Linked DNA regions of Pelodiscus sinensis. The protein of the gene in region 2 purifies or fractionates together with the protein of the main gene of each other region. This does not show direct contact. Links are inferred from orthologs where the notes say so. Each region holds a gene or a part of one and is shown on either strand. Other genes may lie near its edges.

Region 1 (10,290 bases), on a different chromosome or scaffold from region 2:
GCTCCAGTCCCTTATAATACCCAAATTTTGAAATCTTTATGTGGGGCCAAATTTTACTGTTGTTTACACTCTATTGACCTACATGGGGCATACAGTACTGTATTAAATGTCTGCAGATCTGCCTGTGGTCTTTAGCAGCCACTATACCAAAGAGACAGTCCAGTGGAGCCAAGAAATGAGGTGGGCAGGCTGTCAGGGACGGCAGTCCTAGCCTCCCACGTGTCACTCTACAAGTGGGGAAAATTTGGGAAAATCCATATAAAAAGCTTCACAGGGCCTGATAGATTTGGGGGGGGGGGGGGGGGCGGGGGGGGGGGGGGGGGGAGGGAGAGAGGGGAGAACACAGGTCCTAACAGGGTGCTGTGGGAAAAATCACCACTTTTTGCAAATAGTTCCCTCCCATAATTTCCATTACAGAAGGGGACAATTTGGTCAACATGTTTTAATCCCATTACAAGTCAGTGTGACAGGAACTATTATTATTAAGGAGCGACAGCATAAGGCCAAATTTATTTTACAAAATTTTGCCCTGCAAAGTTAAAAAAAAAAAACACAAAACAAGGAAAGAGTACCATACTTTTTTCCTTGCAATGTACGACAAAGGCCTGAAAGTTTGCCCCCCCCAAATATTTTTCATAGTAGAGGATCAGATCTTGTTATCCTGTTTTTCTTTACAAATAAACAAACCAATCCTTCTATGGATACCTGGCAGTCTCCTACAATTATAATATCACATGTATCAAGGAACTGAAACTTGAACAAATATTGTGGGAACGTAATTTAGACATTCCTTAAAGCACTTATTTTTGTTTTTGTTTTGTTTATCCTCACTGACTCAGATAAAAAACAAAGAAATCTTTTCTTTCAACATTTTATTACAGAGTCAACACACCAACCCCTTCAACTAAGAGCCAAGAAAGCTCTCATTTTCATTTTTCCAAAGGTACCCCCAGGAAACGAGGAGAGGAGAGAAGAAAAGGGAATTCCAAATATTTCTGACAGCAAATGAAGAGAAGAGAGGAAAGGAGAGGTTTCCTAAGGTAGAGGAGACACACACACACACACACACACACACACACACACACACACACACACACACACACACACACACACACACACACACACACACACACACACACACACACACACACACGTTTTTAAAACTTTCAATGCCTTCTTTATAAATAATAACTTTTAAAAGGATATTGTAAAATGACTCAGATATCTTCCAATTAATTTACTCAGGTGGACTGTTATGCTTGCAACCAGGTCAGTAGGAGGGGAAAAAAGGAGATTTACACTCAAAGCTAACTGTTGCTTTATTTGCTCAACTAATGACAGATATTGCTTAATACATTAGCTTGATTTTAAAAAGTTTGCTTATAGACTATGGTTCTGCCTAGACTTGAGCTAACTCAATTGAGAAAAGCATATTTTTCCTAGTCTACAGAAGGCCAATGGTCTCTGCATCAGAGCAAGGGGATTCCCATGTGGATCCTCCTGCACAGTCAGGGATACTGGTAAAATTAGTGAAAAATTCAAACCACTTAAAATTTGTAAGTTTCCCACTGTATCTCTTTCAACAGTGTGTAAATCTTTTCCCAACAAACATGAATTTTAAGTTGACTCTGTCCTTACAGTTATCTTAAGAAACTATAAATGGAGAGGGTCAAAAAAGTTTCAGCTACTCAGTTTTCCATTTGAAAATGAGATTTCAGTGGGATCGAAATGCATCATGGCACCGTGTCAATTCCTTCAAAACTTTCAAGAAAAGGCAGGCATGGAGATAGGCTGGCTGCTGATCTAGTATCTCACCTGATAAACCATCCACTAACCAAGCCCATGGGAAGCCTGCAAGCCTAGAAAACAAGATGGCTTTCCTGCCCATCAGTTGGGCAGCTAGTCAGTCCAAAAAGCAAAAAGCCAGCAAGCCTGGGTAGGTGATTTGTGGTGCGCTTGGGGGTGCACCCCTGTGCCCTGCCAAAACTCTTCATTGCTAAATGGGGTATCCCTTCCTTGTTCCTTTAGGTGGCCCTCCCCGGCTATGTCTACACTGTCAGGTTCTAGCGCAAGAACATCATTTTTAAAAATCTGTTTTCAGTGGGTTTCTGGTTTGTTTATAGTCAGAGCTGGTTGAAAAGATAATTCTTGCGCAAGAACACATCCACACGGCCATGTGCTTTTGTGCAAGAGCGTTCATGGCAGTGTGGATGCTGTCTTGCGCAAGAAAACCCTGCCGTGCGTCCACACCGACCTCTTGTGCAAGAGCTCCTGCGCAAGAGGGCCTTACACTTGTTAGAAAAGAGCTTAGCTCTTGCGCAAGAAGCCCTCTTTTATCACGCTTTACTGTAAACATTCTTGCGCAAGAGCGGGTGGGCAGTGTGGACACTCTGCAGAAGAACGGCTGTTCTTGCGCAAGAACCCGCTAGTGTAGACATAGACCCCCTTTGCAGCTCTCATGCCAGCTGGGACACCTATTTTTGGAAAGTTTGATTTTTCATCCCAATTCAGGATTATTCCTCTGCCACAGAGGAAAAAAAGCCATGCAAAAATTTTCATGGGATGGAAATTATCTTTCTAACCAGCTCTGACTATAAACCAGTGTTTCCCAAATGTGGTTCCGTGGAAACCTAAGGGTGTGCCTAGACTGGCAAGATTTTGCGCAAAAGCAGCCGCTGTTGCGCAAAATCTTGCCGCCTGTCTAGACTGGTTGCGAGTATTTGCGCAAGAACACTGACTTTGTACTGTACAAAATCAGTGGTTCTTGTGCAAATACTCCAACGCACCCACTCAGGGATAAGCCCTCTTGTGCAAGTATTCTTGCACAAGAGGGCCAGTGTAGACAGCCATGTTAATTTCTTGTGCAAGAATGGCTAAAATGGCCATCGGAGCTTTCTTGCACAAGAGCGCGTCTACACTGGGCATGGATGCTTTTACGCAAAAGCAAATCTTTTGCGCAAAGGCGCATGCCAGTATAGACACTCTCTTGCGCAAATACTTTTAACGGAAAAACTTTTCCGTTAAAAGTATTTGCGCAAAACCATGCCAGTCTAGACGCAGCCTGGGATTCCGTAAAGTGAAAATAAGGGTTCTGCGAGAAAACTCCTTGACAATAACATTTTATGATTAAAAATAATATTTAAGAACTGACGAATTTTATTGAAAACAATTTTCATTTGTGCCAAGATAAGTGTCCCTGTGTAATGCCAGCTAAGCCAGAGTGGGGATAATGATGTCACTACTCAGAGCTATGCTCACAGTCAGTCAGTGGTGCAATTGCCTGTTATATATCATACTGTTATTAGGTGAAGCAAAATACAGGACTATGTAGCACTTTAAAGACTAACAAGATGGTTTATTAGATGATGAGCTTTCGTGGGCCAGACCCACTTCCTCAGATCAAGTAGTGGAAGAAAATAGTCACAACCATATATACCAAAGGATACAATTTAAAAAAATGAACACACATGAAAAGGACAAATCACATTTCAGAACAGGAGGGGGATGGGGGGGGGGGGGAGGAAGGAAGGTAAGTGTCTGAGGAAACTTGATCTGAGGAAGTGGGTCTGGCCCACGAAAGCTCATCATCTAATAAACCATCTTGTTAGTCTTTAAAGTGCTACATTGTCCTGTATTTTGCTTCAGCTACACCAGCCTAACGCGGCTACATTTCTATTACTGTTATTAGGGGTTCTGCAAAATTCTTTTGAGTTTAAAAGGGTTCGGTGACCAAATAAAATTAAGAAACTGCTATAAACAAACCCGAAACCCACTGAAAACAGCGTTTAAAAAACCTAAGCCAGTAATAATGTTAGGATACGGAATTCATGTTTTCAAAAAGTTTGTGTTCGCCCCACAGCTGAATGCTTCTAGATCGGTGAAAAGAAAAGCAGCGAGCTCAGGGCATGTTCGCTGGGAGCCGAAGCCCGGAGGCAGGGCGAGGTGTGTCTGGGTAGCTGGTGGGCGCGGTCACCCTTCGCAGCAGGGAGACGGAGCAGGCACCCACAAGCCCCTGCCGAGGGAGCTGCCAGAGCGCGACCCCCCAGCTCCCGCACGGGGGCGGCAGGCTGCTCCCAGCCCGCCCCGACCAGCCCCCCTGCAGGCCGCAGGCTCAATCCCCCTCAGCCCCTGCAATCGGCGCTTACCGCCGCCCGCGGGACTCACCGTGAGGAGCAGCAGCGCCTCCAGCCCGCCCGCCGCCGGGCCCCGCGCCATAGCCCAGCCCGCTCCGTGTCCTCAGCAGCAGCCGAGAGTGTCCGCGTCGGGCTCCTTCCGCGGCCGCTCGGCGAGCAATGGGGCCGCCCGGAGGGGCTGGGGAGGAGTGCGCCGCGCGGGGCCGGCCTGACACTGGCACACCTGGGGGAGGGGGCAGGTGAATCCCGCCTTCCTCTGAGGCGGGGGTGCCCCAGCGCTTCCGCCCTGCACAAAGGGGAAGGGCTGCAGGGCGCTGGCGGACCAGCCTCTCGCCCTGGCTGGGGGCTGGACCCTCAGCAGCAGCGCGTCCCCTTCCCGGCGCTGCCATTGCGGGAGCGGAGCCTGGGGGAAGTTCCTCCGACTCCTGCCCAGCTCCGGGCAGACACAAAGGGGGGTAGGAGCTGGGGAGAGAGGAGACGAGCTCCACGCTGCAGGTGTTGGGCACTAACTTTGCAGTCAGGGCCGCGTTATGACTTTCGTGGGCCCCTCCCACCATAATCATATCATTATTAAAAATGATTTTTGCTATAACTTTAAATACTTCAACATTTTTTTTCTGCCTTAGGCCAAATTGAATAGATTTTCGTGGGCCCTAAAAGTTTCATTTTTTTTCTGATGTGAGAACAAAATTAAAACATTTGCTTCCACCCTAAAAGTTCATTTTTTTTTCTTCTGATTGTAAAAAAAATTAAAACATTTTCGTGGACCCTAAAAGTATCGTGGGCCCTAGGCACTGTGCCTAAGGGATAAGTCGGCCATGTTTGCAGTCGCCGCCCAGTCCCTGCAGCTCGCCACAGGCTGCGATCTGAAGGACTGCTATGGTTTGTGCCAGCGCACAAGGGGTGGCTGCATACCTGGAAGGGCCTGCTGGGCCAGCAGATCCCAGCGCACCCCCTCCACTGCCGAGTTCGTGCAAGGGAGCAGCCCTGGCCACTGACCGACTCTGTGCCTTCACCACCAGCTGTGGCTCCATTCCTTCTTACAGGGGCCGCTTACGGGGATCAGGGGTTGTTGATCCTCTAAGTCTGGTGGCTCTTTGAAGTTTCTAAGGTGAGAACTTTTAATTTTTTTTTTAATGTTACAACTATTTTTATCTCAGTTAGGATCCGGGGGAAACGCCATTGTGAGTGCTGAGTTTGAATAATAAAACTGGCGATATTACCTGTTGTGTCTTTTGATCTTTGCTATAAAGTATCTGCTTCTCACAGGACAGGTTTTTGCCCACCCCTTGCAGGGTATTTCCCACATCTGATCAACAGTCATGTTTTTCTTTCTGAGCGGGTTTTGGATGAAGATCTGAGTTTAGAAGGATTTCAAATATAGGGAGCGCTCTTTCCATTTTCCCCTTCTCACCATACAAAAGAACACTACAAGTCATAGCAAGTAGGTGTGCTTTACAAGCTGACAATCCTGTTACAAAGGGGCAGCCTTCATTAATGAGTAACTTACAGGAAAAAACATGGACTCATGGGAAAGTAAAAAGAATTGCTCAAACAAAACCTGCAGTGTTGATACTCCTAATCTGTGTTCCGTGGTCTGAATGCACTTTTTTTTGTATCCATTTCTGATACTGCTCTCTGCTCACCACCTGTTTAACACTGACCAGTCCAGACACTAATTATATGGGGGCAGGCGGGTGTGTGTGTGGGAAATTAAGGTTAGTGTGCATCTTACTTTTACAGGGAATGGAACACCTATATGCTAATAGATGCTGATTAATTAGGGTTGATCAGGTCAGATTCAGCTATGGTAAATCTTTTCACATAATTTCTGAAGCAATCAACTGTAAATATCATGAACAGAATTAGGACCCTTTCAGAGGAGTAGTTAATGGGGAGCCTTTTGTGTTATACATGTAGTATCTCATAGCTATGTGAAACAGCTGCACTTATACACAGTGGTAAACTGAGGACACAGAATATGCATTGTCTCAGAATGTCTTCGCTTTTGTTGATTTAGGATACAGTGATATAGAAGCTTCTCTTGCCTTTTTATGCACATCATATTGTTACTTAGAAAAAAATCAGTGATACTACATGTCCAAGTATAGTGATTACAGTGTTATATTCCTAGTTCAACCACTGAGTAACAGTCTCACTGGTCAATAAACGTAATTTTTGTGTAACGAAGTATAGCTACATGTGAATTGGTGTATTAATGCTTTTGTTCCTCACAAACAGGGTTTGAGGCTTAATACCTAATATAAGTAAAGTGCTGACATCCTATTTTGAAGTTTTGTAATCCCAATAAAATTATTATTATTTTAAAGTGTACAGTGGAGAACAGGACCAAAGCCTTTAATATGATCTGTATACAATATTTTTAATTGGGTGAGCTACACCAAGATTCAAAGATCTGCATGTATTATGACTGACGATTTAAAGAGCTCTAGCATAATTACAATATAAATGAAAGTGTTTCATTATTTCAAGGATCTGTAAGGGAAGTTTGCTCATTTGCTGGATGATGGTGATTTTTATATGTGTGCTCTGTAATGTAGCCAAGTGGAACTTTGATCAAATTGCTAATTATTTGTTAGAGCCATTTGTTAAAAAGTATGTTGATTAGTGAAATAAATTTTTACAACTAAGTTAAAATAAAGCTAAACCTCATTTTGATTTAAAATCAATTAAAAATAATAGGCCCGTGTATATTACTGAGGCCCCAATCCTGCAAACACTTGTAACTAAAATTACATGCTTGCCTATCTCATTGACTTCAATGCAAAAGCATTTGTTGTAGCAGGGCCAAATGCAGGAATAGTGAGATAGCAGGGAGCAGAAGTGTTCCCCCAGAACACAGCCAAAGAAAGATCAACCATTGAGTATGCAGAAGCTCTGCTCTCAGAACATCCCTTTGCTGAATCTGCTCTTGTGATGCTTATAACATTCACATGGGTAGTCAAAGCTTCTGCAAATAATTGCAGTTGCCACTAATGCAGAGCTTCCTGATTTCATATAATGTTTATAGCACTCGTCGACATACTACATGTTTGTATGAATTTGACTGTGCAACAGCTTCTTTTTAAGATGGGGAAATATTATCCCTATTGTATGGAGGTGCCTTGCTGAAGTTGACACAGTACTGGCAGATCCAGGAGCTGACTCCACATTTGTTTCCAGCCTTATTTACCACGTGACCATCCACTCAGTTACATGGATCCATGCTGTAAACTAGCCCTTTCAGCTTTCCTTATTGATCTTTGACACGAGACACTTTCATTTATATTCTAATGATGTGGGGGCTCTTAAACTGTCAATCATAATATATCCAGGGCTTTGAATCTAGTTTTCCTCACCCAGTTAAAACTACAGATACTATTATGGGCTTCAGTCCTGTTCTCCAAAGTATGGCATGCATCATTGGTCACCCTAAAATTATAATTTTCTCTTATATTGCTTCTTTATTCAAGAATCACCAATGTTTTAAACAGATCGCAGCACTTTACTAACATTAGCACTGCAACTGGAAACTACAATTATGGCCCAGGAAATCCATTTATACATGACAAAGGTAAACTATACAAAGATACAGGTGCTTGTACGAGAAAGAACAGAAGGATACAGGTACAAAGTTCAAACATGATGAAAAGCAATGCGGAAATAGGTCCAAACTCTCAGGCTGAGGTTTTGTTTGTTTGTTTGTTTTGGGCATAATATCCTGGTCATTATTGAAAACTACAAATGACCAAGCCCCATTCACAGCCCATGAAAGATTTAGTGTAAGTCTTTCCAATTATAGCAGAATTGCAGGATAACAAACACCAAAATTACAAACACATCAATGAAGCACACACCTTATTTGGAACCAGAAACATTGAATCAGGCAGCAGCTAAGACCAAAAAAACAAAATAAAAAAACCACACACCAAACAAACAAAAAATACTCAACCACCCAAGAACAAACAAACAAACAGTCAAGTACTGTGCTGCTAAAACAAAAACTACTGAAAAGATAAAGGGAAAGTTAAAGATACAAGGTAAGAAAACAATTTAAATAAAACAAGCACAGAAATAAAGATAGTTAAAAGCATGTTTTATCTGTATAGTAATGTTTCAAAGCTACATTAAATCAATGTTCAGTTGTAAACTTTTTAAAAGAATAGCCACAATTTTGTCTGGGATTATGAACATTTCAGAAGTTAAAAGCAACTTCCTTTCCTAAGGTATTCATAACTGAGCTTCTACTGAACTTCAAGGAGCATAAGATCAGGCCCTAAACTGTTATTCTTTTCTAAAAGTTTAAACATCTATATAAATTTCCTCAAAGTTTTAACAAAAACATAATTTCATAAAAATATACATTTGTACTAATTCACAGTATTATTTATTATGAGCATACTTGTGTGCTTCCAGTAGATACATTCTCATATGATCACTCATAAATGCCACTCCCATTTCATGGTGAGTAAAGCTACGCTAACAACTCTAGCTGAAATTCAAATAGGATTCATTTCTTTTTGGTGAAGAAGAGGGCGAGGAGATAAATTAAAATATCCAGCCTTAAGGAACAACCCAGTTCCTTATTAAATTAATGACAAATCTATTGTAATGCCTTTAAAGTGTTGAAACCAAAGACAAACTATCTGGTTTTTTTTCTAGCTTTTGAATTAAACGGAACAGGTACAGTGTTAAACAAGTGCTGCTACAAGAGGAAATTCAGTGTATAGCTGTGATGAAATGCTCTGAGCTCTTTGTGTGTCATATTAAGGTAACTGAGAATGTTTTTCATTGTCTTAAAAATCACACTTCACCCTATTCCACTGTTTTAAAATTCTTACCACACCATTTTTATGACTATTGTCAATAATCTGTCCAAAAATTATTTGCAATTAAAGGGCATTGACCAGATTTCACAGTTGCACAAGAATCCACTTCCAACTACCACTAATTTTAACACCTTTTGTGCTTAAGCAGTCTATCTCTGTGGTTCAAATTCCCCACCTGTAAAATGGGATAATAATACTGATCTCCTTTGAGATCTACTGATGAAAATGTTATCTAAGGTCTATGTATACAATTATCAGTTTTAAGGTGCCTAATTGATACAGAGGATTAGAAGAAAAGCTCTCTTCATATTAAGGGCATGATCCATTAAACAAGTTTAACTTTATAAAGGGAATAACTCCATTCATTACAAAGCTATGCCTGGACTTCAGTGCTTACAAGTCTGGGGCTCATGGGAGAATATTGGAGAAATAGAAAGTATGGACAAGGAAGAATGGTTCACTGTCATTACTTGCTACTACATACATGGTAGTTGGACACATAAATGCTTCTGATTTTTCTATGCTCATAAACAGTATTTGATCCTTTTTATCTCTCTTCTGTTCATCTCTTTTTAATAAATTTAAGATGTTTATTTCTCTTTAAATGACTGGAATGATTTGCTTCCTCCTCCTGTTCTACCTCTTCTCAAACTCAATCTCTTTTTTTCCCCCTCCCACTTATCTTTCTTCCCATCCCTATTCTATGTTCTCTGTCCTAATTATTAGTATCAGAGGGGTAGCCATGTTCGTCTGAATCTGCAAGAAAAATGAGAAGTTCTGTGGCACCTTATAGACTAACAGATTTATTGGAGCATAAGCTTTCGTGGGCAAAGACCCACTTCATCAGATGTCGAAGTGGGTCTTTGACCATGAAAGCTTATGCTCCAATAAATCTGTTTGTCTATAAGGTGCTGCAGGACTTCTTGTTCTAATTGTGTATTTCCCTATCCTTTTCTCTTTCACCCTTGTATTTTGTGGTACCAGTGGCTAGACTGAAGTAGCTAGATATCATCTGCTGTGCTATACTTTGATCCTTTTTCTTCAGTGATCATGGCAGGCTGCAGGGGAGCATGATGCTGATGATTGTAGAAAATGTTACCTCCAATTCAGGGCGAAGCTGTAGGGCGATACTACAGGGTAGGCTGCCAAATACAGAACTTTCAAGGCACGATCCAAAGCTCACTGAAAACACAGGAAATAGTCCCACAGACTTCAATGAATTTTGAATCAGACTTTGGGCAGCATGGATATAGGAAAGGCAAGATGCAGTCCCCCTACAGGAGTGTCAATAGATAACTAATTGTTTCCTTGTTCAGCAAAGTTGCTTT
Region 2 (10,939 bases):
TACTGAACACACCTAAATGCCTCCTCTTTCAAATGCTCAGTCCTGCCATCCAGTCGGATGGGAATACACCCGCAAGGAACACCCTCCCTGAGAATTCAGAACGTGGACACAGATCCTGGGAATAAATAGCACATTTTCAGGACGGGAAGTTTCTGTTCTGAGACTATTTTTTGGCCTGGAAGAAAAGGGCATCTTTAAATACTCTGCAGAACGCCAGGCAATTTCAGAGCGTTTGGTATTATGGCCAAAGGTGTTTGTGTGTGTCTTTTGCCGTTCCCAAACTTTTCATTTCTACCCGAGAAAGCCACAAGCACAATTTGTCTCATCTTGCACGCACCACTCGTATCTTCTGCAGGTCAGATCTAAGCAGGCTTTGCTACAATATTCACTCTTAAGTGAGAATAGAGGGTTTAAATCGAAGATACAGCATCACACCGACTTCAAAATTCCCACCAGCCACCTTTATCCACACCACGTGCTAGGTTCAATTTTCCACACTGGGGCAGATATCGGTCCAGGATAGAAAGCCCAAAGACCAGCTGCTTTGTGTTTAGCTACTTCACACCAACAGAAGCATCCGAGACCAGGTCTGCCTGCAAAAGTGAAGTCAGCTCAGCTCGCTCTCTCGGATTCTCAAATCCACCCCCCTAAGAAATGCAGGTAAACCAGGCCGTCTCCTCACATAGAGGGTTCTAGTCCTGGGAAGAACCCTTCCAACTTCGGGGGAGGTAAATAAACTGTCTGTATCGGAGAACCCCTCCTGTCGCTGTAATGAATCAGCACGCAGAGGAGCCACAAAATGCAATTGCAGCATTTCAAGAGTGGAGAAGCCCTCCAACTTCGAAAACGCATGTTCAGGTGCCTTTTGTGCAGTTACGGCAGCACCAAGCACACTGCCTGGACTCCCTTGCACCCAGCTCTCATTGCATTCGCCATATAATTAAACATGCACCCTCCCTAATGAGTACAAAGAACATCAGGGCGTTCACGCATACATGTTCGTACTGATTTTATGGCATCCATTTTTTTAACTCCGATTCTCTTTTCAGGTTCCTTATACAAGAGCATTTTTTCCCAGGCAACTCCCAGCAACATTTTGGCATTGTCCTTTCATCTTTGTTGTAAACCTAATTAATTAAGCGAATACCAGCCAGACAACCTCTCCTCTACAAGTTCCCTAAAGCACGGCAGCATGGCAGACTGAACAGGCTTCTAATTTCACTGCACAGATTCCTTCCTTTCGCAGACTCTTTTTAGTTTTTAGCTACAAGATTTGAATAGATTCCTTCCCTCCTTACCCTCACTCTCAGGTTGTCTACATTGCCTTTTTCCCCCCCTGCAGAAGATATGCAAACCATGCTCATTTGCATATCTTCTTTGGATCCTTTTTGCAGAAGAGATTTTGCCACTAAAAAGCCCCATGTAGACAGGATCATTTCTCAGAATAAACCCCTTTTTCCTCAAGATCCTGTAAACCTCATTTTTTGAGGAATAAGGGATCTTGCGAAAAAGGGGTTTTTTTCCCCCGACAAATGGCTCCATCTACACAGCGCTTTTTGGTGGAAAAACCTCTCCCACAAAAAGGAGCGGCAGAGGATATGCAAAGGAGAGCTGCGATTTGCATATCTTCTGCCAAAAAATCAGCAGTATAGACATAGCCTCGGAGTCCTCCCTACTTCCACACACTGAAATACTAACTCCCCCTCACTTACAGACCGTTCCTGATAGCAAGATGAGAACACAAGATTTTCGGCTCTAAATTGACTTTACTCCAACACACGGCAGAGCATAACAAACAGGCTCAAGCTCTTATAAACAGGGCCCTACCAAATTCACGGCTGTGAAAAAAGTGTTCCATCCAGACCATGATCTCCCCTGCAAAGTGTGGCTGTTGTAGAGAGGGCACTGTATTGCAATCCTTACTTCTGTGATAATACTGCAGTGGCACTGCCTTCAAAACTGGGTTTTCAGCCAGAAGCTGCCATGGTCTGACCACCTGGCTCTACAGATAAGAGCAGAAATAAGGGTGACAATATGCAATCCTCTCCCATCATAGCTTTGTGACCTCCTTTTGGATTGGGACCCCCCCGTTTGAGAAATGCTGTCTGAAGGGCTTTACATGTTTATGCTTTGTGACAACCCGATGAAATCTAAAAATTTAAGTATCTGATGCTGTGGATTTCACAAATGCTATGACTGCGAAACTGACCAAAATAGACAGTCTCTGTTCATCTGAGGAAGCGGGTTTTGCCCACGAAAGCAAGCTCATGCTTTTTATTTTGTTAGTCTAAGGTGCTACAGGACTACTTGTTTTCAAAATGGACAGTGAATTTGGTAGGAGACATCACCTGCTTGCTGTATTTTTTTCTTCCAGTGAAGAAACACCACCTCCCAGAACTATTTCATCAACATGGCTACATCTCTGCTGGGGCGTGGTTTTTTCCAAGTCCCATCCCACATCCATATGCCAATATAGTTTTCAAGTAGAGGCCAAGCTTACATTGCAAATCACAACTGTTTGTCAGGCAATTGGCAATCTAGATACAAGGCAAGTCTCTAGGGCTACTGCTGGGGACTCCTATCAGGCAATTTCCCTACAAAGAGTCTACACTTAGCTTGTAACAGCATCTTCCTTCCAACCAGGGCCAGATTAAGACCCTTAGAGGCCCTAAACACTGAAAAGATTATGATGCCCTCCCCATATGTAATTCAAAATAAAAAGTATCAGAGGGGGAGCTGTGTTAGTCTGAATCTGCAAAAGCGGCCACAGGACTCCTCGCCACTTTTTCAAAATAAAAACAATACTATACCGTAAAAATCTCTTTTTTTTGGTGCCCCTAAGCACGGGCTTAGTCTGCCTACTGGGTAATCCAGCCCTGCTTCCAACCATTGCAAAGTGCTGGGAGCCCGATGTGTGATCGTGCTTTGCAAGAACATACACTTCAGTCAGTCACCGCATGCAAGCTAAGAAAGCAGGTCGGGAGCATTTTATAATACATGGACAGGAGACCTCAGAAAACTAATATGTCAAACGCGCAAATACACCCTGAAAGCTGATTGTATGTTGATTCACTGCACAATCAATTACACAGAGGAAGGATTTCTTAAATGCCTGTGGCTCATGCCTCAGTAAGAGATTGCCATCTTAAGCTCGCATGGCGAGAGCCGAGCCAGAATGACACCCTTCCTATCACAACAGTTACAGAAACAGCAATGGCACTCTCCTGGAAAACCCAGTCAAGGAGACAATTTGCAAACTTGCTCCCCAGGAATCCAGCAAGAGAACAGGAAACGCCCATTGTGAGCTTTAAAAAAGGAACCATTTCAAGGACCAGCTGAAATAGATTTGCAGCACGCACCCCTCAGCAGTTTTTGTAATTTGTCATCCAGGAGTCCATCAAGTTGCACTGCCTGAATGAAAAGACAGCTAATTAGGTTTGAAAACGCAAGACGCCTCCAGTTTACACCACTTCCCTTTCGGTTTTAATGCACAGTCCAGCTTTCTGGAGCAGTTGCAGGATGCAAACAACAGGCTCCTGTCTCATTCTCCAGATTCCAGCAGGATCCAATTTCTCTTGCGCGAAACAGCGTCTCACGAGAGAGGTTCAGCAGCCACCCCGCAAGCCTTCTGCTCCAACAGAGACTCCAGGCACTTGCAAATTAGACGGCTAATTTAATACCGATCTCTGGAACTATGTAACAGGCTGCCTACAAGTGGTTTGCCGTCAGCCATTAACTGCTTTGATTAATAGCGACCTCAGCGTGTGTTCAGTGCAGGGTGATGAGGTTACTGGTGACACTCCTGTTTTGGCAAGGCAGGGTTCCCTAGAAGGGCCACACGGAGGGGGGGGGGGAGGGACACGACACAGCACCTGGCTGGCGCGGACAACGCGGGACACAAACATGTGCGAGTCTGAACCGCCCCCAATTTCCCACCGGCACGAACTTTACCGGGCGCCTGGACGCGTCCTGGCTTCGCTTGCGCCAGATTCCCCCAAACCAGCACAGCCCCCCAGCAGCACTTCGCTAATCCCACCGCAAGCGGCCGGGCTTTCCAAGCTCGCCGAGACCGCCCCCTCCCCAAGTTCGCCCGGACCCCCCCCTCCCCGAAGTTCGCCGGGACGCCGCCTGCCCCCAAGCTCGCCAGAACCCCGCTGCGCCCCAGCCCGGAGCCCCTCAAGCTCGCCAACACCCCGCTGAGCCCCGCCCCAGCCCGGAGCTCCCGAGGAGCCAGAGAAGGCCCCACCCGGCCCGGACAGCTCGGTTCCCAGGGCCAGGGCGTTGGCTCGGAGCAGCCGGCGGCCCGCGGAGCGGACACGCACCAGCTCCTAGCCGGGCAGACGCGAGCCCGGGTGAAGCGCCGCCTCAGTGCCCCCCCTTAACACACGCACACGTTCAGCCCTCCCTTTGCACACGCGCGCACACTCAGCCGCCCCGCTTTGCACACTCACCCACCCCCTTTGCACACGAGAGCACAGCTCTCCCCCTTTGCACACGAGAGCACTCAGCTCTCCCCCTTTGCACACGAGAGCACTCAGCTCTCCCCCTTTGCACACGCACACGCGCACACTCAGCTCTCCCCTTTGCACACGCGCACACTCAGCTCTCCCCCTTTGCACACGCGAGCAGACTCAGCCGCCCCCATTGCACACGCACACGCGCACACAGCTCTCCCCCTTTGCACACGCACACGCGCACACTCAGCTCTCCCCCTTGCACACGCGCACACTCAGCTCTCCCCCTTGCACACGCGAGCAGACTCAGCCGCCCCGATTGCACACTCAGGCCCCCCCTTTGCACACGCACGCACACTCAGCTCTCCCCCTTTGCGCGCGCACGCACTCTCGGGGGAGCCCGCGGGCCGACCCTCACCTGCGCTGCGCCGCACCGCTCTGCCCCGACACTGGCGGCTGCCCGGCTCGCACCCACCAAACAAAAGGCGAGCGCAGCCCGCAACCCAGCCCCGCCCCCGCGGTCCCCAAGGACACAGGCCCCGCCCGCTCGTGGCCGCCCATTCATTGGCCCGCTCGCCCTTCAGTCACGCCGTCGCGGGCGGGGGCTGCGCCGCCACCTGGCGCGATGGAGCGCCTCCCGATTGGCCGCCCACAAAGCGCAGGGCGGACGGGCCCGCGGGCCGGAAGCGGATTGGCGCTTGGTCGGGGAGCTGGGACGCGATTGGACGACGGGGGTGGCGGTCACGGCGGGGAAGGGCCAGTGGGCGGGGGAGGGCGTGTCCCTAGGCCAGGTGGGACGGGAGACGCTCACCTGGATGAGGTCATGCAGGTGGGGGCGGGGCTTCGGGCTAGGAGGGAGGAGCCTGCGAAAGGACAGGGAGCTGGGGGAGGGGAAAGGGCGAGCCTGGGCGAGAGCTGCGGGGCAAGGGGAGTCTGGGGGGTAGGGGCAAACCTGGGGGGTGAGTTTGGGGCAGGGGAAAGTCTGGGGGAATAGGGGGGCAGAGGGAGAATTGGGGACAGATGGGGGTGGGGGTGAGGGAGCCTGGCAGGGGAAAATCAGGGCTGGAAGCTGATCAGCCCTCTAAGAGCTCTTTGCCGCACATTCCTGTGCACCTTCATGCAGCTCCCCCCCCCCCCCCAAAGCAGTCCTATTCCCCACTAAATAAATTTAATGGAGATTGCCTATCTCTTAGAACTGGAAGGGACCTTGAAAGGCCATCAAGTCCAGTCCCCTGCCTTCACAGCAGGACCAAAGACCATCTATGACAATTTTTACCCCAAAGTCCTAAATGGGCTTTTTGAGGATTGAACTCACAATCCTGGATTTAGCAGGGCAATGCTCAAACCACTGAGCTACCACCTTGTCCCCCATTACCCCTGTTCCTGTCCCTCCTCCCCCAAAGATACTCCCCCGACACATCCAACAGCCCCATTTACCTTCACCTAACAGCAGTGCCACTCTCAGCAAAGGGCCCCTCCCATAGCACCCCACTCTCCAGTGAGGCCCTGTTCTTAGGAGCCATGTTGGTCACGTGCCTCTGAGCACTGCGGGATGGTGATGGAGAGACACAGGCTGTGCCTAAGTTCGGACCTGGAGAAGGCGCTTGCCGTGGACAGCAGCAATGGCTACCTCTGGGGTGGCTGTGCATGGTTAAACTGTTTGAGCGCAGGGGGCCATACCATGTTCAGCAACCTCATGCTCAAACCCCTCCTTTGGAGCCAGTTCAGTGCAGCCTTCTTTATTCAGCAACAACTTGGTGCGCTAGCTCCAGCCACGCTGCACAGTTTTCTGGGTTCTCTTCTCTTCATCTAGCACTGGCTTCCCTTCTGGACCAACACAATTCCCCAATGGTATGCAAGAGCCTTCTCCTTTGCCTCTCTCGCTGTCAGCCGCACGCTCCTGGTGTCATTCCATTTCTCGCCTAACTTCCTGCAAAAATATTTGTTTCTCCCTTGTGTTCCCTGTAGCGCAGCACAAACCCAGACAGGAACAACTGTGCAACCAGTCCGGAGGAGGCGAAATTGAAACAGTCACTTTTCTACTCCAGAGTCCCAGGGACGGCAAAAACGCTGATCAGAAATGATAAAAGACTTCCCATTAAAAAGCAATGAGGAGAGCATGTGCCTGGCCTACAGGGAAAGGAGCGAGCTGGTAGGAAGAGTATCTCACAGTTTAACACCCTGCCACCAGCTCACAGGTGACGCTGACAAATGGCCAGAAAAATAAACCCCAGCAGCCTCATACGCCTTTACTACGAACAGATGCTTGCTACAGCTGCCAAGGACTTGTACCTGAGGCATCTGCCTCAATTGCTCTCCGATAACCCTGCGTCTGGCTTGAAACATTCATAAAGAATCTTGAATTTGAAATATTTTGGGACTTGGGTTCTTTGTCTCTCGGAAAGGTTTGCAGAGATACAGTGTGTCTTGAAAGCCTCTGTAGCCAAAATAGTGGTGACAGGTGTCATATTAAGCACTGCCGAGAGGGAAGAAGGTGGCATAATGACACATTTTTTTATTATTACAACAAAATAGCAGCACATTAATCAGATATCTCTGGCTGGGGGTTAAGAATAGAAGGTAGAGTTCTTTGAAGGGGTCAACAAATGTGGAAAAGGGGGTTCCAGTAGATATAGTGTGCTTAGATTTCCAGAAAGCCTTTGACAAGGTCCCTCACCAAAGGCTCTTACGTAAATTATGTTGTCATTGGAATAACAGGGAAGATCCTTTCAAGGACTGAGAACTGGTTAAAAGACAGGAAACAAAGGGTAGGAATAAATGGTACATTTTCAGAATGGAAAGGGGTAACTAGTGGTGTTCCCCAAGGGTCAGTCCTAGGACCAATCCTATCCAACTTATTCATAAATGATCTGGAGAAAGGGGTAAACAGTGAGGTGGCAAAGTTTGCAGACGATACTAAACTGCTCAAGGTAATTAAGACCAAAGCAGACTGTGAAGAGCTTCAAAAAGATCTCACCAAACTAAGTGATTGGGCAACAAAATGGCAAATTAAATTTAATGTGGCTAAATGTAAAGTAATGCACTTTGGAAAAAATAACCCCAACTATACATATAATACGATGGGAGCTAATTTAGCTACAACTAATCAGGAAAGAGATCTTGGCGTCATCGTGCATAGGTCTCTGAAGATGTCCATGCAGCGTGCAGTGGCAGTCAAAAAAGCAAACAGGATGTTAGGAATCATTAAAAAAGGGATAGAGAATAAGACGGATAATATCTTATTGCCCTTATATACATCCATGGTATGCCCACATCTTGAATACTGCATACATATGTGGTCTCCTCATCTCAAAAAAGATATACTGGCATTAGAAAAGGTTCAGAGAAGGGCAACTAAAATGAGTAGGGGTTTGGAATGGGTCCCATATGAGAAGAGATTAAAGAGATTAGGACTTTTCAGCTTGGAAAAGAGGAGACTAAGGGGGATATGATCGAGGTCTATAAAATCATGAGTGGTGTGGAGAAAGTGAATAAGGAAAAGTTATTTACTTGTTCTCGTAATACAAGAACTAGGGTCCACCAAATGAAACTAATAGGCAGCAGGTTTAAAACAAATAAAAGGAAGTTCTTCTTCACACAGTGCATAGTCCATCTGTGGAACTCCTTGCCTGAGGAGGCTGTGAAGGCTAGGACTCTAACAGGGTTTAAAAGAGAACTAGATAAATTCATGGAGGTTAAGTCCATTAATGGCTATTAGCCAGTATGGGTAAGGAATGGTGTCCCTAGCTGCTGTTTGTCACAGGGTGAAGATGGATGGCAGGAGAGAGATGGCTTGATCAGTACCTGTTCAGTTCACTCCCTCTGGGGCACCTGGCATTGGCCACTGTTGGCAGACCGGACACTGGGATGGATGTACCTTTGGTCTGGCCCAGTCTGACCATTCTTATGTTCTAAGTCTAGTTTTACTCCTTACTATGCCTTTGACTGGTTCAGGAGTCTCTTTAGCCTCTGATTTTGGAGTCTTCAGTTCTCAGGTGCTCTGATTTTCGGAAGAGCACAGCTCCAATGAACTTCACTAGAGTCACGATCGCTTGGCACCTTGGAAAAGCAGGCGCAGTTGTCACTAACTGGACACCCGAGATCACTAGTCACTTTGGACCTGCTCACCAGGACAGCTTCTTCTTCAGGCGAGAGTGCCCACCTGACACACCCCTCCCAGGGGAAAGGGCAGGATTTGTTCATTTACGGCCGGAATGTGCTTGGAGAGCCTCAGCATTGTTAGAAACACAAAGTATTTTTGTCATGTCTTGATTATTATTGGCACTTAGGCCAATGTCCCAATTAATCCATCTTTTGAGAGCTTCAGGTGAAAGATGCCAGAATAGAGAAAACGCGATTACAGAGTTACTCATTGCTTGCCAGTCCTGGAAATGAATATACACACATTATATATAACTAGTTAGAGATTTGGCTAATGGGACCGGCATGCCACTCTGAAGAACCCCTGGACAGGCAGGGCAGCCCTGGCTAAACACCTGCAGAGGGCTGCATGCCGATGGTTGCAAGACAGCAAATTCATGTCCTCACATACCCAAGAGCTTGTTCCTGGAAGCCAGGAGTGTGACAGCCAAATCGCATCGACTATTCGATTAGCCAAATAATTGAAATTTTACATCCCTAGTTAACAGCAGTTCCCACAAGCAGAGACCAACATTAACCCATCACCCGGCGGGATGCCCAGCAGGACTGTCCTTAGGATTTATGGGGCCCTCTCCAGTGCTATTAAACTAGAGCCCCTAAGCCCCTAAGGGGAATGCTTTTTAGAGCTGTGATTTTATCATCTTCAGCACTACACAAATGACATATTTTTAAGGCAAATTATAAACTAAGGTCCAATTGACTCACACACGAAGTGCAGAAACTGTCAGTATTCTGTTACCTAGGGATGTACAATTTTGATTATTTGGCTAATCAAATAGTCGATGCAAATTTGCATCGACTATTTGGTTAGTCGTTAAGGGTGATTTTTCCTTTGAGGCATAGCAACAGCCCCAGGGCTGTTGCTGCACTTCAAAGGCGAAAGCGCTGCAGGGAGCATGGGGCTAGTGACGGACTCAGGCAGTCCCCCACTAGCCCCATGCTCCCCACGGCGTTTCAAAGCGGCAGTGCCACATGGAGCCCGGGGTCAGCTGGGGACTCTGAGCACCCTCACCTCTTCCCCCCTCCCCCTTGCTGCCTCTTTCTGATAGAGGCAGCAAGGCGGGGAGGCGACTAGTCATTCACCTCCCTACTGTTAACGCCACTCAATCTGTTAACAGTTAGCCAATCCCTCCGGGAGGCAGGCTGCCCTCCCTGCACAGCAGTAGCCTCCCCAGGAATTGAAATTAAGGGGGGGGGGTGTTCGAATTTACAAGGGGGGGTGTCAGGGCTGATGAGGGATGAGACCGTGAGGGTGAAGGTGGGCTGTATGGCACCATAGTTCACAAAACTGGGAGGGGGGTGTTGGGGAAATTCAGGGGGGGGTATACACCCCCTGAAACCTGGTGTAGTTGCTGCTCCGGAAGCTAGACGCCACGTGTAACCTGGACAAATAGAGCTTTGCCGGTCTGCGCACTGGGCTAGCACCGGTGCGTCTGTGCACAAGACCAGGTTCTTCTGGGGCAAAACGTGGGCCAATGAAATTAAGCAGAGCGCAAAAGCCAAAACTTGAGAAGCCTTTTCTGCACCTCAGAAAGGCGTCTGGGAATGGGGAGGAAAGAAACAAGGGAGCCTATCTCCTTTCAACACCCAGAAAGAACTCACCCGCCCGGGGCCCAGTTGTGGGAACACCCTTGCTGCCGCCAATAGGAATGGACTCGAAAGTAGAGCCCTGCACGGATCCAGAATGTTCTGGCCCCATCCGTAGCCACACAAATGAGCCGTGGCTGGAAAGCGGATCTCTGCGGAGTTGCAGGGTCTACTCGGAAGGCCAGCTGTGAAGTTCTCCTGCCCCTGCTTTGGAAAGAGGCTGCGGGAGGGGCGGAGGGGGGCCTGGAAACTGACAAGTGACCAACACATCAAAACGGATCCTTCGCTGCGCCTGGCCGTCAGCATGGCTGCCTCCTTGCTCCCGCCACATGGGATTCTGGGACACGTCAGTTATTCGGGGGCTGCTCTTCCTGGCCGGGTGACTTACACCGTCACCCTTTCGTTGCGGCCTATCAGCGCTGTAGGGTCTCACCTCCCCAGCCCCTGTTGCCGATTAACGAACTGACAAGCATAAGGGGCCTGTCCAGCTGCCGATGTGCGTCTCCTGCCCAGGGGTTAGGGTGTTCCACACAACTTGAATAACACAATTAGCTGCCACTGCCCTTTGTAGCCGGTCCCTCGGTAGCCCGTGGTCGGGCCCAGGAGAAGGGTTATTATTAGAACTCCATTTCCTGACTGCTTCCGGGCGCGGTTCGTACCCCCATTAAAAAATATCAATGAGCCGCGCGTCTGAAAGCTATTTGCATGACACAGGCCCGGCTGCGCTTCCCCTCGGC

What was found.
Region 1: the proteins of JUP (region 2) and DSG2 purify together in Homo sapiens (affinity purification with western blotting; 3 studies listed by BioGRID and IntAct, with this or other methods). This does not show direct contact. The link is inferred for Pelodiscus sinensis from reciprocal best matches to the Homo sapiens genes JUP and DSG2.

What each region holds. Positions count from the first base shown.
Region 1 is NC_134712.1:73,104,713-73,115,002, forward strand, and holds the start of DSG2 (desmoglein-2), read right to left. Parts: upstream 4,357-10,290; 5' UTR 4,216-4,356; coding exon 4,165-4,215; intron 1-4,164.
Region 2 is NC_134739.1:9,925,933-9,936,871, reverse strand, and holds the start of JUP (junction plakoglobin), read right to left. Parts: upstream 5,029-10,939; 5' UTR 5,016-5,028; coding exon 4,873-5,015; intron 1-4,872. UniProt on the Homo sapiens protein: Common junctional plaque protein. The membrane-associated plaques are architectural elements in an important strategic position to influence the arrangement and function of both the cytoskeleton and the cells within the tissue.